3 linked regions of the Drosophila melanogaster genome follow. Changing the gene in region 3 together with the main gene of any one other region gives a genetic interaction. Each region holds a gene or a part of one and is shown on either strand. Other genes may lie near its edges.

Evidence for each region. A genetic interaction does not mean that the proteins touch.
Region 1: of tral (region 3) and BicC, changing one enhances a phenotype caused by changing the other (phenotypic enhancement), as found in Drosophila melanogaster (one study listed by BioGRID).
Region 2: of tral (region 3) and Zfrp8, changing one suppresses a phenotype caused by changing the other (phenotypic suppression), as found in Drosophila melanogaster (one study listed by BioGRID).

Annotation. Positions count from the first base shown.
Region 1 is NT_033779.5:16,038,599-16,048,650, reverse strand, and holds BicC (bicaudal C), read right to left. Parts: upstream 6,605-10,052; 5' UTR 6,124-6,604; intron 5,735-6,123; exon of another isoform or gene 5,577-5,734; 5' UTR 5,565-5,576; coding exon of another isoform or gene 5,430-5,564; 5' UTR 5,406-5,429; intron 4,828-5,405; 5' UTR 4,597-4,827; coding exon 4,290-4,596; intron 4,229-4,289; coding exon 4,179-4,228; intron 4,100-4,178; exon of another isoform or gene 3,864-4,099; coding exon 3,794-3,863; intron 3,731-3,793; coding exon 3,651-3,730; intron 3,586-3,650; coding exon 3,259-3,585; intron 2,811-3,258; coding exon 2,685-2,810; intron 2,625-2,684; coding exon 2,243-2,624; intron 2,050-2,242; coding exon 922-2,049; intron 694-921; coding exon 446-693; 3' UTR 25-445; downstream 1-24. Other genes in the region: CG45084 (uncharacterized protein), read right to left, coding at 5,430-5,564; beat-Ic (beaten path Ic), read right to left, coding at 9,121-9,776. UniProt on the Drosophila melanogaster protein: RNA-binding protein that is involved in oogenesis. Required for correct targeting of the migrating anterior follicle cells and the establishment of anterior-posterior polarity in the oocyte. May act as translational repressor of oskar during oogenesis.
Region 2 is NT_033778.4:24,130,461-24,136,509, reverse strand, and holds Zfrp8 (zinc finger protein RP-8), read right to left. Parts: upstream 2,522-6,049; 5' UTR 2,495-2,521; coding exon 2,226-2,494; intron 2,169-2,225; coding exon 2,084-2,168; intron 2,030-2,083; coding exon 1,340-2,029; 3' UTR 1,284-1,339; coding exon of another isoform or gene 1,143-1,283; 3' UTR 1,105-1,142; downstream 1-1,104. Other genes in the region: Naa35 (N(alpha)-acetyltransferase 35), read left to right, coding at 43-1,080, 1,143-1,283.
Region 3 is NT_037436.4:12,512,225-12,521,126, reverse strand, and holds tral (trailer hitch), read right to left. Parts: upstream 6,069-8,902; 5' UTR 5,676-6,068; coding exon 5,555-5,675; intron 4,569-5,554; coding exon 4,068-4,568; intron 3,712-4,067; coding exon 3,170-3,711; intron 3,104-3,169; coding exon 2,873-3,103; intron 2,690-2,872; coding exon 2,460-2,689; intron 2,398-2,459; coding exon 2,057-2,397; intron 1,984-2,056; coding exon 1,976-1,983; 3' UTR 1,432-1,975; downstream 1-1,431. Other genes in the region: sti (sticky), read left to right, coding at 6,460-6,745, 7,002-7,246, 7,303-7,665, 7,725-8,902.

The sequences.
Region 1 (10,052 bases), on a different chromosome or scaffold from region 3:
TGTTTTTAATTTTTTTTTCTTTTTCAGTTAGTTTACATAAATTCATTTCTTACAACAAGTGATTTCGTTTAGTTAGATTTCATAAATAATTCACAATATTTTTTTTTTTTGCTTAAGACGGTTTCCTATATAAATAATTTCAAAATAAATTAATCGCTTAAAATAAAGGCAACTACGACCTATTGGCACACTGGGAAAACTGTGCACTTTCCCGAGCGCAGCTATGCTACTTGGAATTTGAGTACAAATGCGAGTATAAGTCAAGGTCAAGGCTGTGTTGTGCGGGAAAGCTATTCGCCCAGGGAGTTGCCATTTTCTTCCTGACTTCTTCCTATACTTTTTACCGTTCCGATTCTCTTGATCTTACGACTACCAAATAAATGGGCATGCAAAAAAAAAAAGAAAAAAAGAATTCGAGGCAATGGGGTCGAACGACAGGAGCGGATCACCACTGGTTGGAGGGACGGCGCTCTGCGCCTGGGGCCGCACTTCCGGAGAATCGCGGCGACGAGGAGTTCTGCGAGGAGCTGCTGCTGGGCATTGTGCTGCAGGCCGCCTCGTTGGCCAGCAGCGTGTGAATGGCCGTCAGCAGCTTCTTGCGAGCTCCAAACGCCGCGATACCCAGCTCCATCAGGTTTTCCTCGGTCAGGGTGGTGAACACCTCCAGGTCGATTTCGTTTAGAACGAATATTTCTGAAAGGAGAAATAAAAACTGTAGTTTTCCCAGGTTGTAAATATAAAATAGTTTGATTTTAAATGCTATATGGATGTTGAACTTTATGTAACTTTATCTATGACTGTGAAAAAACGTTTGCGTTAAATAAAACACTCTCCAGTTCAAGCCAGACATATATGATAGCTTTATAAAAGACTTCTAGTACACAGTTGGTAAAAACGGACATGATCGGCGGAGCTACTCACTGATGTAGTGCTCCAGACCCAAACTGGTGAGCAGAGTCTGGATGTCCTTGTGCTTGGCTAGCTGCATCCGTCGGTTGACTGGAGTGGCGTCCAGGAGTCCGGTGGTGGCACTCAGTCCGTAAGGGGAACCCAGTCCTGGTGGCAGCCGCCACCCACTAGATGCTCCTCCACCAGCAGCCCCATTTTCCCCGTTCTCCAGCGGGGCAGGGGCGGGCGAGGTGCTGCTCAAGCCCATTCCCATCCAAGCGGTCGTGGGTGTTCGCAGCTCCCCTGCCACCGGGGTGCGCTCCATGGCTTTGTAGCCCAGGGCCCGTTTCATGTCGAAGTCAAAGGCACGGTGGCCGGAGTGCTTGTTTCCTCCAAGGTCATAGTGCAAACTCCGATAGCTCTCGGCACTGCCGGGCAGGAGGTGGGCTCCTCCGGAGTTACCTCCTCCACCGTTGGAATTACTCAGCCCCAGCAGCACTCCATCGCTAAGGCGTCGTCCCAGACGCGCCCCACCACCACCTCCGCCGCCAACGCCACCACCCTCACTGCCGTAAGTGGAATCTGGCGAATAATGCGCCCGATTTTGGCTTCCCGCGGTGGAGGATGAAGTGGACGACACGGTGCCCGGCAATTGGGCATACGGCGGATACGACTGCTCCAGGGAGGTGGTGCTGCTGCTAAAGCTCTGGTAACCACTGGTATTCTGACTGCAGCTGTTCCGTGGCGAAACAGTCGGCGGTTTGAGAGGCGGCGCCACCGCTCCAGGAACCTGCAGATAGTTGCCATTGTTGCTCTGCCCACCAGCCACCATGGAACGATTCTGAGCCTGTTGGAAGCTGTTGTGCAACTGCATATATTTTTGGGTGGGCGCACACACCCCAGTGGGCGTGGCCAAGCCATTGGCGTTCAACAACAGGTGATTGTTGTTGGCATAGGGCGTCAGTTGGCCAGCCAAGGAGGGCGGCAGCAGCGATGGAGTCTTCGGGCTGTCCACATACCCAGCCAGCAGAGCAGTTAACTGGGTGCGGTAGGCGAGATTAAGGTCTTTGTCCTTTGGCATGAAGTAGTAGTCGGGGATCTCGGGCTTCACGAATGGCGTGGCCAGGCGCAGGATCTCCTGGCGGGCCTCGTAGATTTTGTCTAAGGAGGGTGACAACAACGGATTAATACGGAAATTTAATTCAGCACTTGCTAAATATCTTAAATTGTATAATATATCTAAAAAGTAAGGAAAATATGGGATAAAAATCAAACAATAATGGAAAGTGCAATCGTATATTAATGCAGAATCAACGAAAATCATACACTTTACACATTGCTTTAGAGATCTTACCTATAAACTTCTCCACTCCCTTGACCACAATGGCCAGGGTGCTCTGCCGCTGTTTCTGGCGCAACGTGATGTAGACGCCGTACTTGGTGTTGAGGCTCATTATTTCGGATGCATCGTTGTGGTTGTCCGGAAAGTCAAAAATCAATGCTACGGGCAAATTGCCAAGCAATTGTTGTCGCGCCAAGTAGACGTCGTCGATGCGTCCGCTGATCGTGACCTGGGACTTCTTCAGGGGCTTCACGTTCATGTCGCTCAGATCGGGGAATATGATCTTGGTCTGGGTTCGCTCCATAATGCTCAGCAGATTCACGTTGTTCTTGCCCTTGACGATTTCGTGATGCTGCGGCGAGATCTCCATCTGGACATTCACCAGGATTTGGCTCTAAAAAGGAAAAAGGATTCGCTGATGAGCCTTATTTTGAGTTATCCTTCTCGAACCTACCGCAATACTCTCACAGGCGAAGTTGATCAGCAGCTGCGTGGCATCTCGGACCTGCGCCGATTCCTTCTCGGATCCCTTGACCAAAACCAGCGAGGTATGCAATTTTGGACGCGTGGAGAATATGACCTGAAAGGAGGAAAAATCTTTAAAATATATTCAATAATAATTAAGAGCAACGAAAAAACTGTTTACAAAAATCCTTGGTTGTAATTTAAGGTTGCCAAATTCGAAAATAACGTTTAAGTAACTTTATTACTTTAAATGCGTTCTAAATCACTTAAAAATATATAATAATAACACAACTGCAAAATTAGCCTAATGTAACATCAGTTGATAAAATTATAATGGAGCAATATATAATCACAACTCTCAAGGGTTGGGAAAAAAAAATTTGACATTTTCTATACCCCCTCTTAAATGTATGTATGAATGTATATTACAAAATCTTACCTAAATTAGTTAAACTAATCAAGCCATTATAGTCAAATGCAAATAATATTTGGTAACATGCCATGATTAATTTATAATTAATTTATAATCTTACACTTAGTTGACTCCGACATCTGGAACTCACCTGAACATTGAACTTGGTCTCGATCATCTTGATGTAGGGAGTCTCGTGGTCGGGCTGCGGCTTGTTGGGTCCCATTACGGGCATCTCGAAGGAGATGAGCAGCGGTGTGGAGAGCCGAACGAGAGCCCGGGCTCGCTCCACGCCCTCTAGGCTGCCGCACAGCGACACCTGGTTGGATTTCTCCGTGGGATTGGAGCGATTCGAGTCGGGGAAGTGGATATGGGTATGCGTGTCGTCCATTATGCGCTTGATGTTGTTGCCACCTCGTCCGATGATGTACGAGTGATCCGTGTAGCTGACGTCCATTTTCATGATCACTCGAGTGCCCTGTTCGGAGAAAAATGGGTAACAATTAAAACAGATAAGTTTGTATTATGCTTTGGCTCACTCACCCTGGAGTCAAGACTGCTAAGGATGCGCTCCTTTGCCCGCTGAACCTGATCCACCTTTCCCACAATTCGCACATGGGGATCTTTAAATTATGGGATTTATTTGAAAAATACTCTTGAACATTGAAAATATTTCAATATCCTACCCTTCTTGCTCTTGGCACCAATTTTGAGTCTGCAAGGCCAGCTCACATAAGTATCCGTAGTGTTCATGATCTAGTAAAAGAATATGTTTTGGATATATGGCGAATTCTTTTATATCAAGTCAAAAGAGTCGGTCCTAACAGTATCTTAAAACAAATTGGGTTATACACTGAAATTTTATAGATGCAAAGTCAGATTGCCAAACAAAGACATGAATCAATTAACTTAAAAATTTTGCTCAAAAACTAAATAACTTAATATACTATTGAATAGGAAACATATTATTATATGTTCAATATTTATAAGGCATGGCATTCTGTGTCTCAAAATGAGACAAAAGAAAGTGTGAAGCTAATAGGTGCCCAAAACTTAAAAATATGTACTCACGTCATGGAAAAAATATTCAGCTCCATTCATTCCCTCAATGGAGCTCTCCGCTATCAGAAAAAAGGCAATGTATAATAAGGAATCTATTATTTTTATATATAAAGGCATTACCTTTTATTAACTGTTCCAATTTCTGTCGATCCACCTTGAAACGTTCCGTGTGGAGATCGTCTGGGTTTTGAACGCCCAACTTCATGGCGATGGCGCGTATGTCACTCCAATCGCTATCCACGGAGGAGATCTCGCTCTGCGTCTCGCTGGGGGCTCCACTGCCCACCGAGGTGGTCGATGGAAGGGCGTGAAGACTGGACAGGGATCCAATGGATCCAGCTTCCACCTCCAAGCCCACCATTGGCGGTTTGGCAACATCTGCGGCCGACGGATACATCAGTTTATTGAAAGAGGCACAGGACAACATTGTGGAATTCGGATGATGATGATGATCACTGGATCAGTGGATCGGTCAGTGGATCGAGAAATTCGTCAGAGGTCAACAGGTGTGGGTACCAAAAAGTCGTTTAGTTTTAAAAACCAAGCAAAACGTCCGTCTCAGTTAAGGATTCTGGAAGCCGGTCCGTTGTTTGGTCAGCTTTGTTAGATGATTGCTGCTACTTAATGAAGTAAAGTGTATCTGAATTGATGGGATGAGCTGGTGATGAAAAATGAAAGGTCCGAAATGATGTAACAAGAAAATTGATGTTCGTAATAAGAAGAGAGTGGTTAGAAAGCGAGTCATAGGTAATTTAAAGTGAATATTGAAACACCATATAAAAATTAATTATTTTTATTTTGATAGTCGGTACCATAATTTAAGCAATGCACTTTCCAAAAAAAAAAACGATTTTACCTTTAAATTTAGTTCTCTTTTAATTTTTTGCGGTAAATAGTATTTAACTATCAACTGGAATAAGTACTTTTCACTAACATTAAAAAACTTTCTGTCTTAATTTGAAAATCTGTCTTATAAATTTGTGAGAATAATGCCGCGAAAAGGTGAAATAAAAATTCACTAATTAATATTATTATGGATAACAACATTATTATTGGTTCGCCGCCTGTCGAAAATTCCAAACTTTCTTGTGTGTTCTTTCACATAACCTCTCAAAATGGAGTGCTGCTGCCATGAGGTTCGTACTTTCCCCTTTCTCTCGAGATCCCGAAAACCGTAATTTCACCCGTGTCTTCACTTTCACTTCCTTGTGCCCAAAAACCAATGGCGTAACTTACCGCTGGGAGATCGCTCGGTGATCTCTACTTGAGATTAAATAGGCCCTGGAGGTCCAGACAGATGGCGTGCGAGAGGTCCTGGACGAATTGGATGGCCTCGACGAGGCAGACGTTCATAACAAAATTACGTATTTGTTGAAATCTCTCGACGAAAGGCATTTAAGGTGTGATCTGCGCAATAGAGATCTATATATCAGTATATAGCTGTGTGATTGCGACGGTCTGAGGGGCTTTGTCAGAGTATTGGAAAAATGCAAGTTGGGAAAAATCTCTCTGATTTCTGGGGGACCAGCACTTCTTCTAAGTACGGCTTGAAGGCAACTGAACGCGGCTCTCGATTTCGTCGATCGATTTTGCCCGCTGCTCGACGGCATTTACTTCTAACTGTTGAGCGGATGAATTCCGCAAATCGCTGGCAGGAGAAAATCTGGCGAATATTGTTGTTGCTGGGTCAATGAACCGCTCCCGGAATAAGAGATTCGATTCCATATGTCGAGAGCGAAAAACAAAACAAAGTCGCAGGGAGAGGTGGTGTTCCAGAACTCCAACATAGCTACAACAATTTGCAGAGCAAACGCTTAACAGCGGTTAGAATGTTGCAATGTTAAGTTTGAAATGTTGCCAACCGTTTTCATTCATTTTGGCGCCAGAAAAAACGGTAGAGAAATACGGCACAAAGAGAAACCGACTTTATTCCCGCCAAAAACACGCCACTTACCGTAATGTCAGAAATTCGGATCGTAGCACATACACATAGATATCGCAGGTTAATTTACTTAAACACAATCAATTGTAAAATCTTTTCGACAAATAACACGCTCTTTTCACGTAAAAAAATTGTATATCCGCTTGCTAATTAATTTTGGGCGCAATTAATTTTCCGTCAATTGGTCAAATTAAGGTTCGAATGGGAATTCGGCTGGCAGTCGGTGTATTTTTTCAATGTAACCAAAAAAAATAACCACTATCGAAGTGCGAGTAACAGAAAAACACCACGTGTGTGAAAAACACAAAGGAAAATGCAATGGAGTCTCATGAAAAGCGAAACTGAATTGTTGTCAGAAAATCGTGCACTGCGCGTTAGTTAGTTATATTTGAATATTTTTTAATATTTTATAGCTCTTTTGAATTAATATATTATTAATGGGTTGTGCGCGCCGTGCAGTTGTCGTCATTAAAGCGCGCTGACTATCAAACTAAGCTCGGCATGTGGGTCCCAGTCCCAACTGACCTTCAGATCCAAAAGCTCTGTGTTCTGTGGGGAGTGAAGCCAGTGCACGAACAACCTTAAAAAGCTGCCAGCCAACTGGATAACGGATATTCAGCAATAGCTTTATAACGGGAAACGGAGCTTTTCAAGCTTCTGAAACTCCCCAACCTGCACTTTACCAAAGTATTTATATACAGTGGGTTTTAAAAGTACGCTCACCCTTGTACAACCGGAAATCAAACTTTAAATAAACCAAACTTAAATTACGTAATTAAATGATGACATGTACGAGTAAAAGACGTCAGCAATAGTTATTGAATAGGGGTTACTTTATTTCCTTGCTGCTATTTTACATCACTATTTTGTTTTCTTCAATCTTATTATTACATTTATTCTGGCTTTACACATTTCGGGTTATTTATTGGGGATATGAATATATTATGTGCTATGCATTTGACCGCGTTTTTGATTCTCTTTATAGATCTAAGACTTATCGTTTTTCCTAGCAGCTGGAAACATTCACTGTTTTTTTATCCTACTTTCATATTTCTTGGTTAATACTTTTAATATTTATTCAGTAACATCAAAATGTTTGTCCCATTTTTATGTACATAAAACTAGCTTTTTACATTCTTATACATATGGTTATAGTTTATTATATATATTGGCCATAATTGAAACCATACTGAAATTAAAATTAAAATCCCCTGTCAATGTTTTAATGTAATGGGCATAAATTAGGGAAGACAACTTTCACAACACGATTTGATTACAAAAATCTGGCGGCATGCAGTTTATTATTATATAATTATCTATTTGTATTACTTGTTTTTGCATGTACACCAATTAATTTATATTTCATAAGTTTTATTATTACGTTTTATCATTTTATTTACACTTTAAATATATGTACTGAATTTATAAATTATTCAACATTTATTTTTTATTATTGTTATTTTTTTTTAATATACATTTTCATTTGTTTTTGGGCTACGATTACCCATTGCATACATTGAATTGTGTTTAAGGTAAAGGAACTATTTACCGCTGGATTTTTGTTGGCCAAAAATGTTCAAATAATTCTTTTGCTTTCATCGAGTTTTAATATTGCCGAAACAAGACTTGAAAATAAAGATTCTTTTTCGTTTTAATTTGCTCTATGTATTCGTTGTTTTCTACAAATAAACGCTTGCTATAATAATTAATTTTGCTTTTCATTTCCACAACCGTAAAAAGTTCCTTTCTGTACAGTGGATGTTACAAAATATTAATTTTGTGCTTGGTTTTAAGCTTTTATTTACACATTGACATAATGTCTTCTTCATTCTGAAAGGAGAAAACAAACAAAATAAAGTTATAGTCGATTCTCTCGACTATAAGATACCCGTTACTCAGATGAATACCTTATAATGTTACAAACGATTCCACTAATCTAGAACACTCTTTTACTCTAAAAGTAACGGGTATTAGTATTGACTTAAATTATATTCGGTTGTTTACAATTTTGAAGCTGTCAAAACCCCACTTTAAAATGCACTACGGTACCCGAAAGCTAAGCTCAAGTGCAGTCTAAAGTTCAGCTTGCTGTACACTGTGCACAATTCCTATAACTTTTTGATTTTTTATTTGAATATATTTAACGCTTGATATATAACATAAGAGTTTGAAGTACATAGTATTTATTCTAAGTACATTTTGATTTTCAGTGACTGAGCACACGCATTTTCTCACCCTGTACGTGCCCAGTGCCCAGGCAACTGTGCATTTTTGGTTTGACTTTCCGCATCTCTTAATGTTCTCTTCACTGAGAGCCATTTGTCGTGGCTTATTGTGATCTTTTATTTTTTACAGTAAAGATCTGTTCGAAAGTATCGGGAATAAAAAGTGAAAATACCTTGCTGTAGCATTCATATATGCTTATTGAGTTGATATTATTGTCTGAAAAGTGTGTCTAGCTGAAAATAAAATGTGTTACTATTTTTACAAAATAATAAATATGACAAATAGATATTTAATTTTAACAGTGAACAGAACAGTTTCACATAGTTAATGGAAGTAATGTGATTGATTGGTGATCTGTTTTACAGCACAATATATTTCCGTTTAATTCTGTTGCGAAAATGTGAGTAGGCCGAAAACAGATTTGAGAGATAGCGGCGTACAGGGTATCTTTTTATTTAATGGTTTCACCGTATGTTGTATTTTACCTAAGATTAATTCATTTCCTGTTATTATTCATCGGTTTAATATCTACTTGCTGACTTTGCTCTGCCAATAATTAAATATATACTGCACTTTCCCTGACCTTATGCGTTCAACACTTAAGAGCTACGACCAGATCGATTTATGCAGCTGGCTGATGCAATCAGTATGAGTACGAATGTATATTAATTATGCCCTTCAACAATTCGGGTGCGAAAGGAAAAGAGCCATATACTGGCTATTTTGCACGGTGGCGAGCACCTTAAGCTACTTTCGAAAATGGATTTCATCATCAATTCGGCATCAGCACGCGCTCCAACGCGACTGCATCATCGCATCCATCGCCTGCGATTTCTTTTGCCGCCTTTCTCGCCGCCGAGTCATCAATAATCGTTGATCCGGCCCACTGGCCACGCCCCTTACAGCATTGACGCCCCCCACAAGTGTCGCTGACAGCCGCTTAATGCTGCAACTCGCAACTCCTCCTGCAGCAGCAACATCTGCAGCATCAGCATCGGCAGTTGCTGTCGCTGTTGCCGTTGCATTTGCACTCGTGCTGCCAATATACGCATCACCACCGTCATCATCATCATCACGACTTCGAGTTGGCATCGCCATAGCCATTTGACAATTATAAAAGCATTTGACGCTAGATGCGCTAGATGTTGCCGCTTTTGAAGCTGTCACCTCGATGTTGCTGCTGCTGCCGCTGTTGCGTTGTTGCTGTTGCACCTTGCCAGTCGCCGGCTTAGTGTATTGACAGTTGATAATTTGATGGCCCAGCGGCCCTTGCTGCAGCAGGAAAAAAAGGAGAAGAGCAGCCGCTCCACCGCCCCCACATAGCCAGTGCCACGCCCCCGCCAACTGCCTGTTGATGGGGAGCTTTGTGAGCTGCGATGGCCAGAACTGCCAGAAGATTTCGTGTGCAGCTGTCGAGGCGCCCGATGCCGTGTTATCCGCTGGAAATAGAGAGATGCACAGGTGAGCATTGGGTGGAGGTAAAAAGAAGGGACATTGCCATTAAAGGGGCTTCAAATTTTCCCCCTTTGATGCCTTTGTGAAAACTAAACAACGCAATGTCCTGTTCGATTTTTGGAAAAGTCAATGTCTGTCAGGCTTCTTTAATAATTTATAAGCCAATAATCGTACATTTACCTATTGACCCCCTTTATACCTTTTACGTATAAGGCTTAGTAAAAATTGTAAGAATTTAGCTAAGTTTTCATCATGTGCAT
Region 2 (6,049 bases), on a different chromosome or scaffold from region 3:
GTGACTTCTAAAATAAATTGTAATAACATCCTGGCTTTCCAGAACTTCTTTATCGAGTACAGCAAAAAGTCGGGCCAGTGCATCCTGTCCAGAAGCGTGCTGCAAACCCTGTTCAGCGCCAACATGCGTATGGCGCACGGAAAGCTTCCCATGAAGCAGTTCCTGCGCCACTCGGTTCAGGTCTTCAACTCGCCACCCGTATTGAATGCCAAGCATCCGGTGGCTGCCGATCCCAAGGTGCAGCAGCACCTGGAGAACTTCTTCCGTTACTGCATTAACATGAACACCTTCACGCAGTTCATTCGCATCTGCGGCTTCAATCGCGCCAGACAGCGGGATAAGCTGGCGCGTCTGATAGAGAACTTCGACACCATCCAAGTGGATGCAGCGCGATTGGACTCTATGATGAACCAACTGGCCAACGAACGAGCCATGGAGGGCAACGAGCCCATGGCCACCGCTCTGAAGCACAGCACCCACTTCTCCACATGGGTGCTGTACAACTGTTTCCGTGCGATGCTGATCTTCCTGATGTCCGGCTTTGAGCTGGAACTATATGCTGTGCATGAGTTCCTCTACATCTACTGGTATCCATACGAGTTCCTCATTGGCTTCCTGGTCTCCGCGCTGACGCGCACGGAGAACATCCTCCTGGCCCAGGAGGAGTACGCCGAGCACCAAAGTAAGACCCAGTCGGGCGGCAGCGGAGCGGCTAAAAACCGCAAGGCGGCCAAGCCGAAAAAGAACAAAAAGACTCAAAGGCCGTACCGCGCCGAGATCGTCTTCTACCACGCGCTACTCAGCCTCTGCGGCGGAATGTATAAAGCAATGGGCGCCCTGACCAAAGACGGACGCGTGCGACTGCCGCTGTCCAAGTTCGACAACGAGGAGATCCGCTACAACCGACGCTTCCTGCCCTTCGCCACACTCACCAGTCCTCCGCCAGTTTCGTACGCAGAGTTCAAAAACGTCCGGGAGCACATGATGCGACATAGCGTCGAGGATCTATATACCTATGCGGCCAAGCACTTTGACCAGGCCCGCAATGTTCTCGAAAGCATTCAAAACCCAGATCAGGAGGTAAGTCAATGGTAGTTCTGAATTGGTTTTCCTGGATTAAAATGCGTTTCGTTTAATTTCAGATGCTGGACCTCCTGCAAATCGCACGGACTAACTTTGTGGTGATGAATGTGCTGGCTCGCGGTCACCAGAAGGAAGTCAAGCGGCAGCCAGAGTTCGACTTCTCCAAACACAGCTACTTCCCCATCATCAAGCTGAAGTAAATGTTCACGTGTTTCGTAATTGACAAGAATAAAATTTAAATGTACGCATTTTAATGTCAACTCTGATCCTCCGCCACAATGTCCTGCTTGATGAGAAGCTCCTCCACGTAGCCGTCGATGGGGCAGCTTTTGGCGCAAGTGTAGACGGCCAGGACGCCCCAGTCGAGGTTTTCGTCCTCCAGAAGAGTCAGCGCTTGCGGCATAATCTGAAATTCGAACTGACGCTCTCCTCCGCAAGCAATGCAATTGGGCAGCTTGTTAAGTTGGTCCTCCACCGTTTTGACGGTATTCGTGATCCAGAGGGGCTGGCCTCCACGTTTGTAGCGCACGATCTGATCGGGTTCGGCTGCTGTTTGCTTTTTGAACTGACGAAAGGTCTTGTCATCGGCGGCCGCCGAGTTTCCGAAGTACTTGTCCATCTCCGCCTCGGAAACATTGCTCAAGTCGCCCGTCTTCCCGCTGGACTCCAGCTCCTGGAACTCCGCCAAGCGAGCCTCATCGTCCTTGTCCTCCTCGCCAGACTCCACGGGGTTGCTGTCCATTACAATCTCAAATTCTGGGAAAACGATTTGTGTTAAGGGCTTCTCAGTGGCTACTTCTGGTGCTCCGCAGTTTGGCTTGTGTTGTGGCCAGTGGGCCCTTTGATGCTCTGGTGAGCAGTAGTGGATTGCCTTGCATTTGCTGCAGGCGTGAGGAGCATGGCAACCGCAGGCGGCGCATAGTTTCTTTAGGCAGGGAACGGCGGGCTAAGAAAACATATTATGATGAGTATGTTCTGAAAATATGGCTGCTGTTCCTACCAGGGGTTGACCCACGTCGCTCGGCTCCTCCTCCGAAAAGAACTTATTTTTTCGCGGCAACTGTGACCTGAGGACTGTGAAATTGCTGGAAAGATGGGTAAGATTAGGTTGCAAGTTGGTTTTCAGAGCTAGAAGGGATTACCTTGCATTTTGGGCCTCCTGGCAGTCGGAATTCCGGCACAGGAACACATAGATGGACCGATGAAAGTTGTACTCGTCTTCGAAGGGAGCGTATAGCTGAGCCAGGAAGGATTTGGGTGCCCTGCACTTGCTGCACTGCAGCTGCGACGTGGGCGGCAAGGCCTCCAGTTCCAGCCATGCGGGCTGGCCTCCCAGCTTGCTGGGAAAGTAGCGGTTGCTCAGCCAGGCGCCATTGTCGCTCTTTTCCGCAAATCCCAAGTCAATCTCCATTTCTTTCAATCTCCGAAACGAAACTCGTGTTCAGTGTGACCGCAGCGGGAGCGCCAGAAAATACCTCTACAAATTCCGAAATAACGTTGTATAATAACTGATATTTTCGGGGAATCACACTTTTTGGGTGTTATAATTTAAAATTTAAATTAATTACATTCGTTTAATTTGTTGATTTCGGCAGTTCAATAAAATAAAATATTCTTTTCTTCATTGAATATTTGCGATTACTCTTATAAACATAAGGGGGAAACATAAGATTTTAATTTAATGACATTAATCTGGAAGAATAACAAATCTCATTATCCTGAGCCCTTAAAAATGGCAAGCGGTTCAAAATTATAGAGCGAGGATTAATCAGATAAGGCCCCTCTTCTACGCCACTGATAATAAAGCTTGCATGCCATGGATTTGGTATTTTCCGCGAGTTCCTCCATGGCGATTTCCCAGATTTTGGCCACTTCAGTATGCGGTTATTTCTCACGGTTAAAAGTTCTGCTCTCCGAGTTGATTAAACTGGCTAAAGTGATATTTTATTTACTGTTGTGATAAACGCGTGTGAAAAACAAAGACTTTCCATTGCCCGCGGACACAAACGATCACGAACCGAAGAGTGAACCGCTCAGAAACGGGGGGAAAACCAGTTTTCCCACGATTTGATGTGATTGTGAAAGCGCAACGAGATTTGTCAACGCAAACAAGCAAGAAGAAGAGCCCGTGGATAGCGTAATATTTGTTAATAATAACGGCTGCAAAAACAACAACATTGCGGAAGCAGAATCTCCGACTTGTCGCGTTTCCGTCGCAGCAGCGCTAAAAATAAACCCACCCACGCACCGCCCCCTCTCGAATCGCCAACCACCCACTCCCGCCCACCATCCACCTACCACCACCTTCCGCCCACACCCACGCACGAATTTGGAGAGGTGAACTTGTGTTGACTTTTCCAGCGCGCGGACTTTTCCGAAGAAAAATGCAAAAATGAGAGCCGAGCCACCAGCGGACCACTGGGAATTTGCGTAAGTCCAAGGCGGATGCTTCCTGGTTTCGAATTACAGGGTATCACGTGCGCTGCTGCGAGCTAGTGAACAAGAAGGCACCAGATGTTTGATGGAGTGCACATAGAGAAAAGTTTGTGTAGGAACTATTAGGTGTCCGGTACAGGGTATCTCCGCTTCGATGCCCCTGGCAGTGGCTCGCTTTCTGGCTGCCAAAGAACGAGCCGGGTGAGCTTTTATTTGCTAAATTTAGTGCCGCATTGCTGAAAATAAGAATGGGAGCACCCTGCCATCGGTTGCCGGTAGGCAGACTCATATATATGTATATGTATATGCATAATCGCCCCTGACGGCCAGTGTGTGGTTCGGTGGATCTTTGTCCAGGGCACATGGCCCGAAACTGTTGCATGGCCCATCCTCGTCCTGGCCAATCGATGCCTTCGATGCCGACTTCGACTTGGAGTGCTGCCTGAATCAATAAACGCCTCAAATCCCTGCCATATTGCGTCCATTGTAATGTCAGCACATAAATTCTCTGCCCATCGAGGGGCATTTTCACTCGGCTGCAGGCATTCGGTAGTGGTATGTACGCTATGTGTCCTGGCCAGGCAATAAATATTGAAAATTCAATTAGCAGACGGACGGGCAGCCGAAATGCTATGAATTTATCACCACCTGAGTGCGAATGTGCCTGTGGTACTCATAGTAAATAAGTAACTTCATTGCCATTCGGCCCACTCCACTTGCTCCACCTGCATGCTGGCTATTGATTTTAATCCGCCCTGCAATCATCTTGCTTCATTTGGCCGCTGAATTTATGGGTTCCCACGAAAGCTCCACTTTCTTCGGCCCGCTTTCCCATTTCCCCCACTTCACATTCCCATTCCCACCAACAATGTGTGCTGTTTCGGCGCTGGAAAACATTAATTAAAATTCACTGGACTGGGAAAGCTATCAGTTGCATGCATATTCAATTGATTCATTATTACAGGACATCATACATGTAATGCTCAGCTCATTAATCGGTTGACAGTGCGTTCCTTCGACTGACTGTTTAAATTCCCATTTCAATATTGTTGTTAACTAGTAGTATGTATGTACGTACATATGTACATATGCTTATGTACGACTTGAACCCAAGCAACTAAATAGGAAATTGTCAGTATGTGTAGCGTCGAAATTATTGCATAAGTAAATAAATTATAGAGGATGAGAAGGGAAGTCAGTTTATGTGGCTTGCATAAGTTTGTTTTGATATATTTGATAATTATACGCTTATCACTGCCAATGTTGTTCTCTCCGCACACCGCGTTTATTCGACTCCTCTTGTCACCACTTCGCCGTTTGCTCAGTTGCACTACACTTGTTTATCCACGCCCGCCTTGCTGCTCATTCGCATTCTGATTGGAGCGCCGAACGCCAAGTGAGTCACTCCCCAAGGTTGCTCAGCGTAGTGCCTCTCCGGTGTTCTCAGTATCGAATGCCAAAGGCCAATGGACGATCTCTGGCTCCACGATAGCCGATATCAATATCGAGTTAGCCAGTCAAGTGGCTCGGTTCTCCGGCTGGCGAGGGGGGAGATAAGGGCAAGCGATGCAATCGCGAGGCTTCTGGGTTCCTATCGAGCACTTGTGGGCTTTCCTTCGGGTCAGCGAGCAGATGATACCCAGTTGGGAGTAGTATTTGCCAGGTAAAGCTCATAGATAGTAAAGGGCTGGAGCTTGCTTTCCGGTTATCTATTATCATCACAACAAGTGAGCTCCATTATTGCGCTCACTTTATTTACTCTACTTATTTTCGCGTATATTAGGTAAGCCTGGAAATTGTACATGATTAGCATTTCTGACCTTATGACTCACCGAAGCAAAGCTACGAGCAGCCCCACATTTAGTTGATTTCTATACAATTCGCTATCTTTTATTTCAAAAATAAACCTTAGATTAGATACGCCTTTGCAAATAAACAAAGTATGCTGCAGAGTCTTCCTGGATCTCCACCTAGCAATCATAATAAAGGGCTTCCAGTTGGTTTGAAACCCCATAGATGGACTCTACTTAGTGTTTGGTCATGGTGATAGTTTTAGCTTTGTAATTTCTATTAACAAAAAAAAATTTGTATTTATTGTAAACGAAATCCCCTGAAACAGCTTTTCTCCCAGCCAATGAATCAGCTTCCACTGCATCGGGGAGCACAGTAGACGTAATCACAAGTGAGCTTTTTGTTGTCAACTGTTTTTGTCCGCGAGGGGCAAGTACTGGTTGCTTAGGTGCTCCGCTGGCTGGGAGGAAACTGATAAGGACTCGGGAATGCCACTATCGATGACGGGCCCCAATGGAGCCTATTGTTTGCTCTTATCTGTCCAGTTATTGTTACTCCATTCGAGCCCAGTTGGTTGTTTATTTGTTTGTTTGCTGCATGCCGCGACGGCGTGCGTCATGCGGGGAAGGATGTGATTCTGGTGATTCATGCCAGAGAAGTGCATCCCCACCCAACCCCTGGTGGAAAATCAATAGCCATGGTGGCGCGCTCTGGGCTCTCGAGATGTTCGCCGTAGTGT
Region 3 (8,902 bases):
CCACGAATCCACCCACTCTCCCTTCATCCAGTGGACAAAACCAATGCTGGTCAAATGATGTGTAACCACTACGTTTTTGTCTTAACTCTTTATTTCACTTTTGATTTCCTACATTCATTGTTTCGCATGCTTTTAAAGTTAGAGTTCTTCTCATTTGTTTTTATTTTGGTTTAGTAAATAATTTCAGTTATAAAATTATATCTTAGGGGCGGGAGTTTAATCGAATCTCTAGGACATTGTACAAAGGCTCATGCATACATAAATACGTGGCTCCACATCTGCGTTTCATCCTTTCCAAGGCTGCACCGGAAATGGCAAAGGATATCGTGGATATGCCGATGGTACAATGAAAATGTTAACCGTAGTTGCTTACTGCTTGAATTCAATTATCCTTTATTACATGGTATATTTAGTTTTTAATTTCCATACGTGGTAGTCTTTACAATTTAGCCATTACTTGCGAAACGTGCTTTCTTTTCAGTGTTCAACTCGATAATTGCGTATTTATATACAAACATACATATGTGGAGCTAATCAGAGTGAGCATATATGGAGATATACATATTACATACAATTAGATACATAATTTATGATTACATAATATTGAAATGTTTGTGGTGACTCCGCCAGCTCATCCTCATCCTCATCCCTCTTCTCTCTGCCAGCGTGTTAACTGGCCAAACTGGACTGGGCTTGTGCTGAATACAAATATATATCTGGATACAAGGATAACAAACAAATATCTAAAGGGATTCAGCTGGAGATACGCGTACTTTACTCGCTTTTGAAGGCCTCGATTTCAAGCGCAGCAGCCAGTGAATCACACAATCAATCTTAACATTTACATTGAGAACATCATCACCATAGGTATCGTATCTTTTCAAATCGATTCGAATCGTAAGTATAATTTCCCTTGCCCAACCGAGATCAGAGAAAATAAACTGTACGAAAACCGAAAATTTGGGCTTTTCTTTTTGGACAAATTTGCTAATGATTGGTTGTTTTCTTTTTTTTTTTTTGTTGGGGTTTTTTCGTTTAACATTTTCATTCGGGAGACTTCATTCATTCATTGCAGCTGAGCTGGATTGACTTTTTACAATTGTGCTTTTGATAGAAGCGCGTAGCTGCCGATTTTATTTTCTTTTTTTCATGTTTAAAATGCTCTTAAATAATAGTTGTTTTAAATGCTAGTAAAACGGGTCGAGCGTTTGTCGATGTTTTACGCCCACAAGAAATACAATATTACAATCGATTTGTTACTCTTTCATTCAAATAAAAACGTATTAAGTTAGCTTTTATTTTAGATTTGGGAATTCCATGGATTTAATTGGTTTACTCCATTAATTTCATTATTGTTGTTATCGGCTCCTCCGCCAAATCTCCTTGCTCCTCTCCTTGCTAAATGGTTGCTTTCGTTTTGTTTTGTTTTTTGTAGCTTTTCATACTTATGCTTAACTATGTTCTTACTAAATATATGTATGTATGCTGGCGTGCCATTATCTGCTCCTTCTTATCAATGCCGTGCTTTTTGCTCAGCGCAAGGCGTTGGAACCAGCCATTTACACAAAGCCTAACACATGGCCGGTTCGGTTCGGTTCGGTTCGGTTCACATTCACATTCACATTCGCGCTAGTCGCTAATCATTAATCGAATCGTAGAGCGCTTATCATCGCCAAGCACACGGTGGTGGTGGGCGGGCAGCAGCGGAGTGCGCCCCAGGACGTCGTGAGAATTGTAACACTAATTTAATTATACAAATATATTATGCCGCTGGATCCATAACTCGAAATTCCTGATAATAAGAGCCTGTGTGTCGTCGATCGTTCGGGTCACTTGATTGGTTTGCTTCGAATAATTAGCTTTGCAATGAATAGGATATTTACTTTACGCTCTTCTCAATTCGCATCTATCAATTTGTGGTTTGTTGGTTGTGGTTGGTGTATATTTAAAGTGGCTTTCCACTGGCCGGGCGGCACTATTGTGCTGCAAAAGTAAACAGACACACATGTAAACAAACATGTTGCAAATGAAGTGCTTAGATGTAATTGCTACTCACAAACTGCCGCCACCTGTTGCGTCTGCTCTGGCAAGAGGGACGTCGACTTTGTCGTCGCGGTTGTGGCATTTGGTGCACTGGAGTCCGTGGCATTGGATCCGTGGCCAGCAGCATTGTTGGCCGCCTTCAGCGCAGCAGCCGTGTTGCCATTGGTGATGTTTGGCATTCCGTTTCCGCCACGACCGCCGCCGTTGTTGCGATTGTTGCTCCTGTTTCGGAAGTTTCCGCCGCCGCCACCCATGCGATAATTGTTCCTGTTGTAGCCTGGCGCTCCTCCATATCCCGAGTTAATGCCGCCGTTGCCATTATTGTTGTAGTATTGGTTGCGTCCGCGGTAACTGCTTGGAATACATTCAGTTGATGAGCCACACTGCATTTGCTTGATTGCTTCGATTGGACTTACCTGCCACGTCGTGTGGAGGACACTCCGAAGGTCTCCGTGTTCAACTTGCGCTCCTGGCGCCAATCGTTCTTCTTGTTCTTGCTGCGATCCTGGGCAGCCTCGCACGAGATGTTGTCGAAGAACGATTTGGTCTTGTCGTAGCACACAGCAACATCATCCTCCTCAGGCTCGTGCTCTCCAGCGCCGGTCTCGTTGCCAGAATCATCCTTCTTGTCGGTCTCGCCATTCAGCTGCAAGCAGATGATGCAAATAGTGAGTAACTCTTAAAACGATCGTATAGAAAATGTTACTTAAACTGAACTTAAACAAGCAATAAATAAAGAAGAAGATTTACCTTATTTGTTAATAAACTGCTCTTATTCATTTAGAACTAATTTGTAGTGTATAAAAATAAAAAGTGTATGTGGACTTACTGTGTGAACGCCTTCAACCTTCTCACCCACCTGCTCATTGGTTGCAGTTGCAGTGGCGGCCGTTGCATTGGTGGCTGGCTTGGGTGCACCATCCTCGGCCACCTTGAGCTTGGCCAGTTGGGAGCGCAGTTCCTCGAACTTGTTGTTTGCCTGCTCGAAATCGAAGTCGCCCTCGAACTTGATCTTGTTCCGCGGCTTGTTCTGATTATTGGCCGACTGCGGACGATAGCCCTGCAAAATGTGAAAGCCAGGGTTTAATAAACCATCTATAGCAGTGTGAGTCACCAGCAGGTGTACCTGATTGGGTCGCATGGGGCCGCGGGATCCCATGCCGCGGTTGCGCATGTTCATCATGTTGTTCGAGTTCTGGTTGCCGCGATGCATGTTCCAGGCCGGGTTGTTTCCACCTCCGTTTCCACCGCCGCCGCCGCTGCCGCCGTTTCCTCCTCGCTGCTGCTGTTGCATTCCGTTGCCGCCGCCGCGATTGCGCTGATTATTATTATTGTTGTTGTAGTTGTTGCTATAGTTGTTGTCCATTTGACGTCCGGAGTCCCGACGATCCCGCTGCTGGTTATAGAAGTCCGTTCCACTGCCGCCGCCTCGTTGCTGCTGCTGCTGCATATTGTTGTGGCTGGGTCCGCCACGTTGCTGATGCTGCTGATTCTGTTGCTGCTGGTGGTTCTGGCGCTTATGTCCTGCATCGCGTCCGTTGCCACCCTGGCCAGCGTTCTGTTGCTGGTGCAGCTGCTGCTGCTGAGTCAGCTCCGCCGTGGGACTCACAATCAGGCTAATGGGCGTCGTCGATCGCGAGGCACCGGCCAGCATGTCTAGAACGGAAACTGTACACATATAGAGGACGCAACGAGGACGAAAGTAAAGGAGAGAGTAATGCGTGTGGGCACCAAAAACATTAGTCCAAACAAATACTTGTGTCAAATACTTTGTATCAAAAGGTGACATTAACTATTTTAAAGGGCTGAGTAAAAGAGCGTAATTTTTAAGCATTTAAATCGACATGCTCGCTTATCGGATAAAGCCACAAAATGAACCATATCTTAAACTATTCCCGGAATTTGCGTTTTTGAAAATAGCAATCGCTTTTTAGCAGGAAACGAATTTTGATTTAAGATCACAAATGAGAAGTTCTACTTGTGTGCAATGTAATTTTAGTAATGTGTGGTCTACACCAACTCACTTGGCTGTTTCTGCTGCTGGGGCTTCGGTTGCTGCTGATTGCCACCGATGTGCATGAAGGGTCCGCTGCCCGGAGCACCGGAACCGGGTGCAAGCGATCCGCCCGCATTGCCCACCATGTTGGCCAGATTGGGACCGCCGAGGTTGCCGAACGGATTGCCATTGCCGTAGCCGGGTCCGCCGCCGCCAGGAGCTCCTGCTCCACCAGCACCACCACTGCCTCCACCGCTTGGCATTTGGGGCGGTTGCTGCGACGGCACCTGTTGCTGCTGCGGCGGACCGCTCATCCCGCTGGGCATGGGGAAGTGCTGCGGCATCTGGGGCGGTCCGTTCTGGAGCTGCGCCTGCATGATCGCCGGGTCATTGTGGTGCGGCAGCGTGTGGTTGTTGACAACGCGAATGTCCTTGATGTCCGAGCCACGGAATAGGATGTAGTCGTAGATCTGCGATTGCGGCGCTATCTGGAACTGGGTGTCCCGATCTTCTGTACCGAAGGATCGCACTGAAAAAGAAAAGAGGGTTAAAATGAATTGAGTTATAATATTAAATCGTATAAAGAGTACAATAGTGAACATTTTTTCCGTAAAGTTTTCTTATCCCAGCCGCCATTTTTATTCCATTGCTTTAAGAAAGATCTTTCACAAAACTAAACTTTTAAATTTTTAAATTTTTCCATTGCAAATAAGCTACCTTTTTTGCTTAACCGGTATTCTAAGTCGGTTTTTAAAAGTGCTCCATCTAATAAGTGGAACTTTCCGAGCCCACATCTTTCAAGTTTATATTCCAATTGTTTTAAAATGAATGCACCGCATTATATAATGCAATTGTTCAAAAGACGAATTACTTGGATTGCGGCAAACTTGTAAACCCATTAAGGTTAGGCCGCGCTTCCAATTTAACCTCAACTGGGGAACGCATGTTTTGCCGGTATTTCTCCGCTCTCCGTTCCTCCTTTTCGACTTCCAGGGCACTGACATCCGTAACGGGAGCCCTTGGATCCCGTTATCTGGCGCCAAATCGAAATTGTATTTGCAAATAAACAAATTGCATTGGGGCCTTGCTGGTGCTCGTTACTTTGTGCGCGGGTGTATGTGTGCCAAGTAAATTGCAAAAGCAACACTGTACAACAACAACCAAAGACAAAAACAGGCCAAAGCCAACATGACAAACAAAAAGCATAAGTGGGAGAGCGAGAGACGGCTGTCGAAATGGGTAATGGAGAGAGCGGTGGCGGCAATTGCACTCACCGTCTCCACGAGTATGAAATTACTGTAAAAACTAACAAAAAGAAACGAACCAAAAGGAAAGAAAGAGTAGAGCCACCAACACAAGAGAAATGGACAGAATCCATTTTCTTTTGCGATGAACCGTTTTTTTACACGATTTTTTTTTTCTTTTTTTTTGGCGCAGATTACGGCACCCACATATGTATATCCCGTATATGTACATATATGGGCGACGTGGGCGATTTTCGTATTAAATACTTACCACTCGAGAGCGCAATGGTGCACTCCTGCGGATCCACCGTGTACAGGCGGCCCTCGTATCGAATGTCCGCCTTGGAAATGAGGCTGATTTTGGAGCCCAACTCCGGTAATCCCCCGCTCATCTTGAACTACTTCGATGCTTCACTGCGCACTCACGCCGAAAATACAAACTATTATTAAATGTTTCTGCCAACAGGCACACGAATTTCTCTGTCAAAAGCAAACAATTATAGCGAGCGCGACGACAACGATTTCTCGACGGTTTCAGTCTCTGCTCTTTTACTTTTTTTCCGTCTTTTTTTCACACGCAATTGCGTTCCAGTTCCAGGGCGAATTTGCGGCCAATCGCCTTCTAGCCGCGTTTGCTTTATCAAGCTGTGTTTTTGCACAAGTGCGACAAGCGCTTTTCCAATGTCTGTGATGCTGCACACACGGCTCCAAATGTGAAAATTGCAATTTTCGATGCACAAATCTTTGCTCCGTCCGTCTGCGAAAACCTACCCGTCGAAAATGAACGATGCATACGAGCGAGAGCCTCGACGGTGTTGGAAAGCGCGGTTGTATAGCAGCGGCGGCGGCAGCGAAATAATAATAATAACTGTTTATGTGCAAAACTGTGCAAAATATAAAAGGGGACGCTTCAAAAGGTTGCCAAAAGTAAATAAGACTATTTCATTATTTATCCGTTCTCTGTTTGCATTAAAATTCAAATTTTATCCTCTTTCACAGGGCAGCCCTACTTGCAACCCTAAATACAACTCTGGAAAGTGAGCACGCATCCCTGGCTCTTCGGCTTCCCTCGGCGCATTTTTTTCAAAGCGAAACGGCAGAAAAATGCTCTGGCATTTTACGGATTTCTAATTGTATTATTTATGTGAGAAAATTGCAAATAAAAGTGAGTCCATCATGCCACCCAAGATGGAGCCGATTAGCGTGCGCACCGCGCGTCTGAACAACCTGATTCTGGGCAAAGGAGCTGGCGTCTGTGCGAAGCCCGCTGGAAGCGCCTCCGGATCAGGTATTCCCGCCTCCACCAGGAGAAGCATTGTACCCGTGAGCACCACTAGCGCCGCCGTGGCCGAGGCCATCTGCCGCGAGGGACTCCTGGACGCCTTCTGTCTGCTGTACAACGAGTGCGACAAGGATACGCTGAAGAAGCGCGATCGCAACATCGCCGAGTTTGTCAACAAATGTGAGTCAACTGCATTGGTCAGCAGGGTTTTCGGATGGAGTATCTACCATTCTATAGAAATGGAACTCAGAAGCCACATTTTTACTTCCTCGGGTCAGAGAATCTACTTTTGCTAATCATATTCCATTATTAAAGCCCACAAAATTATTGGGAGTAGAATCTCTTATAGATTTACCTGTATGTTCCGGTTTCCCTCCTTGAAAATAGAGCTCATGCCTAGTTACCCATTATATTACTATCTAATTTCCTACTCCAGTTCGTCCCATCATAGAGGAGACCCGCAAACTCAGGGTCAACGCAGATGACTTCCTCATCAAGACGCTTATTGGCCAAGGATACTTTGGCAACGTTCACCTGGTGGTGGAGCGGCAAACCAACGACATATACGCCATGAAGAAGATCAAAAAGTCGGTGGTGACGACGTCACAAGTCAAGGAGGAGCGCGATATCATGTCCATTCGCAACTCTGAATGGCTAATCAATCTGCAGTATGCCTTTCAGGTTTGTTATTTCCACATTTTCGCATATTTCAGTACTTGAATTAACTTATCACTTAGGATAACGACAATCTGTACCTGGTCATGGAGTACATGCCCGGCGGAGACCTTCTCAGCTTGATGTCACGCCACGGCCCTTTCGATGAGGACTTGGCTCGTTTCTATCTGGCCGAGCTCACAGTGGCCCTGCACACATTGCACGAGATGGGCTATGTGCATCGGGATATAAAGCCTGAAAATATACTGATTGATCGTTTTGGCCATATTAAACTGGCTGATTTCGGTAATGCCGCTGCCTTGGATCGCGATGGCCATGTGCTGAGTTTGTCGCCGGTGGGAACACCGGATTACATAGCTCCAGAGCTGCTGCAAACCATATCCACCTACAAGCTGTCCAAGTCGATGCACGATGTGAGTAGAATTGTACGATCGCAGAGTTTGGTTTGGAAAGTTCATAGCTAAAACAAGAACTCATTTTGTAGGTCAGCTGCGATTATTGGTCCATGGGCATTATAGGATATGAGTTAATATGCGAGACAACACCTTTTCACGAGGACAATGTACACGAGACATACTCCAAGATTCTCTCCCATTGCGAGGAGAGTCACCTTAAAGAGCTCATCAGCTTTCCCGCCGACTTGAAGGTGTCTGTTAACTATAGAAATCTTATTGAGTCACTGGTCACAAATCCTTCGAAGCGATTGTCCTATGAGCGCATTAAGAATCACCCCTTCTTTAGCGAAATTCCGTGGGGTTCCATTCGCTCGCAGGTTCCACCGATTATACCAACTGTTAGGTCTGACGATGATACCTCCAATTTCGAGGACGGAATTCGTCATAAGACTCGCAGAGAACAGGGAGTTGCTAAAAAGTCCCTTACGACTAACATGAAATCGAATGATTTCAGTGGCAAGGATCTGCCATTCATTGGGTACAGTTTTGTGCACATGGAAAAGTCGGCAATTTCCGCTACCACCGATGAAAAGCTTCAGGAGAAGCTAAAGGAACTGCTGCAGAAACTGAAGACTAGAGAGAACGAGATTTCCATGCTGAAACAAGATCTTCTGCGGGCTCAGCAATCGCTGAGGAAGACCGATAACAAATCTCAGGTGGTAGCCGATGCTAAAATGGAAATTAAGAAGCTGCAACAGATTATCAAGGAGAAAACAATGGAGCTTACCACTTGCAAGACGCAAATTAAGACACTCCAAAGTTCGGCCAAAATAGACGAGGAAATGTGGTCCAAGAAGGAAGCCACTATCACCGATCTCCTTCGCCTTAATCGACAAAAGTACGAAGAAGCCAAGATCGCTTCGGAGCAACGATATGAGAAACAATTGGCGGACAAAAAGCAAGAGCTGGCATCCACGCTGCAAAAGTTAGATGCCCGTGAGTTGGAGTTCAATGCCAAGTTCGAAGAGTGCAAGCATTTGTCCATGAAGTTGCAAAACTACAAGGATATGCTGCAGCAGATCAAGGAGCAGAATCTCAAGTCCGAGACAAACCATGAGGAGCAGAGGCGCCAAATGGCCGAATTGTATGAGCAAAAGCTAACAGATCTCCGGAAAAAGGTTCGCGACTCGCAGGATACAAACCGCCGCATGACAATGGAGATAAAGGAAATACGCACCGAGCTGGACGAGTCCATATCCTCCAGCAA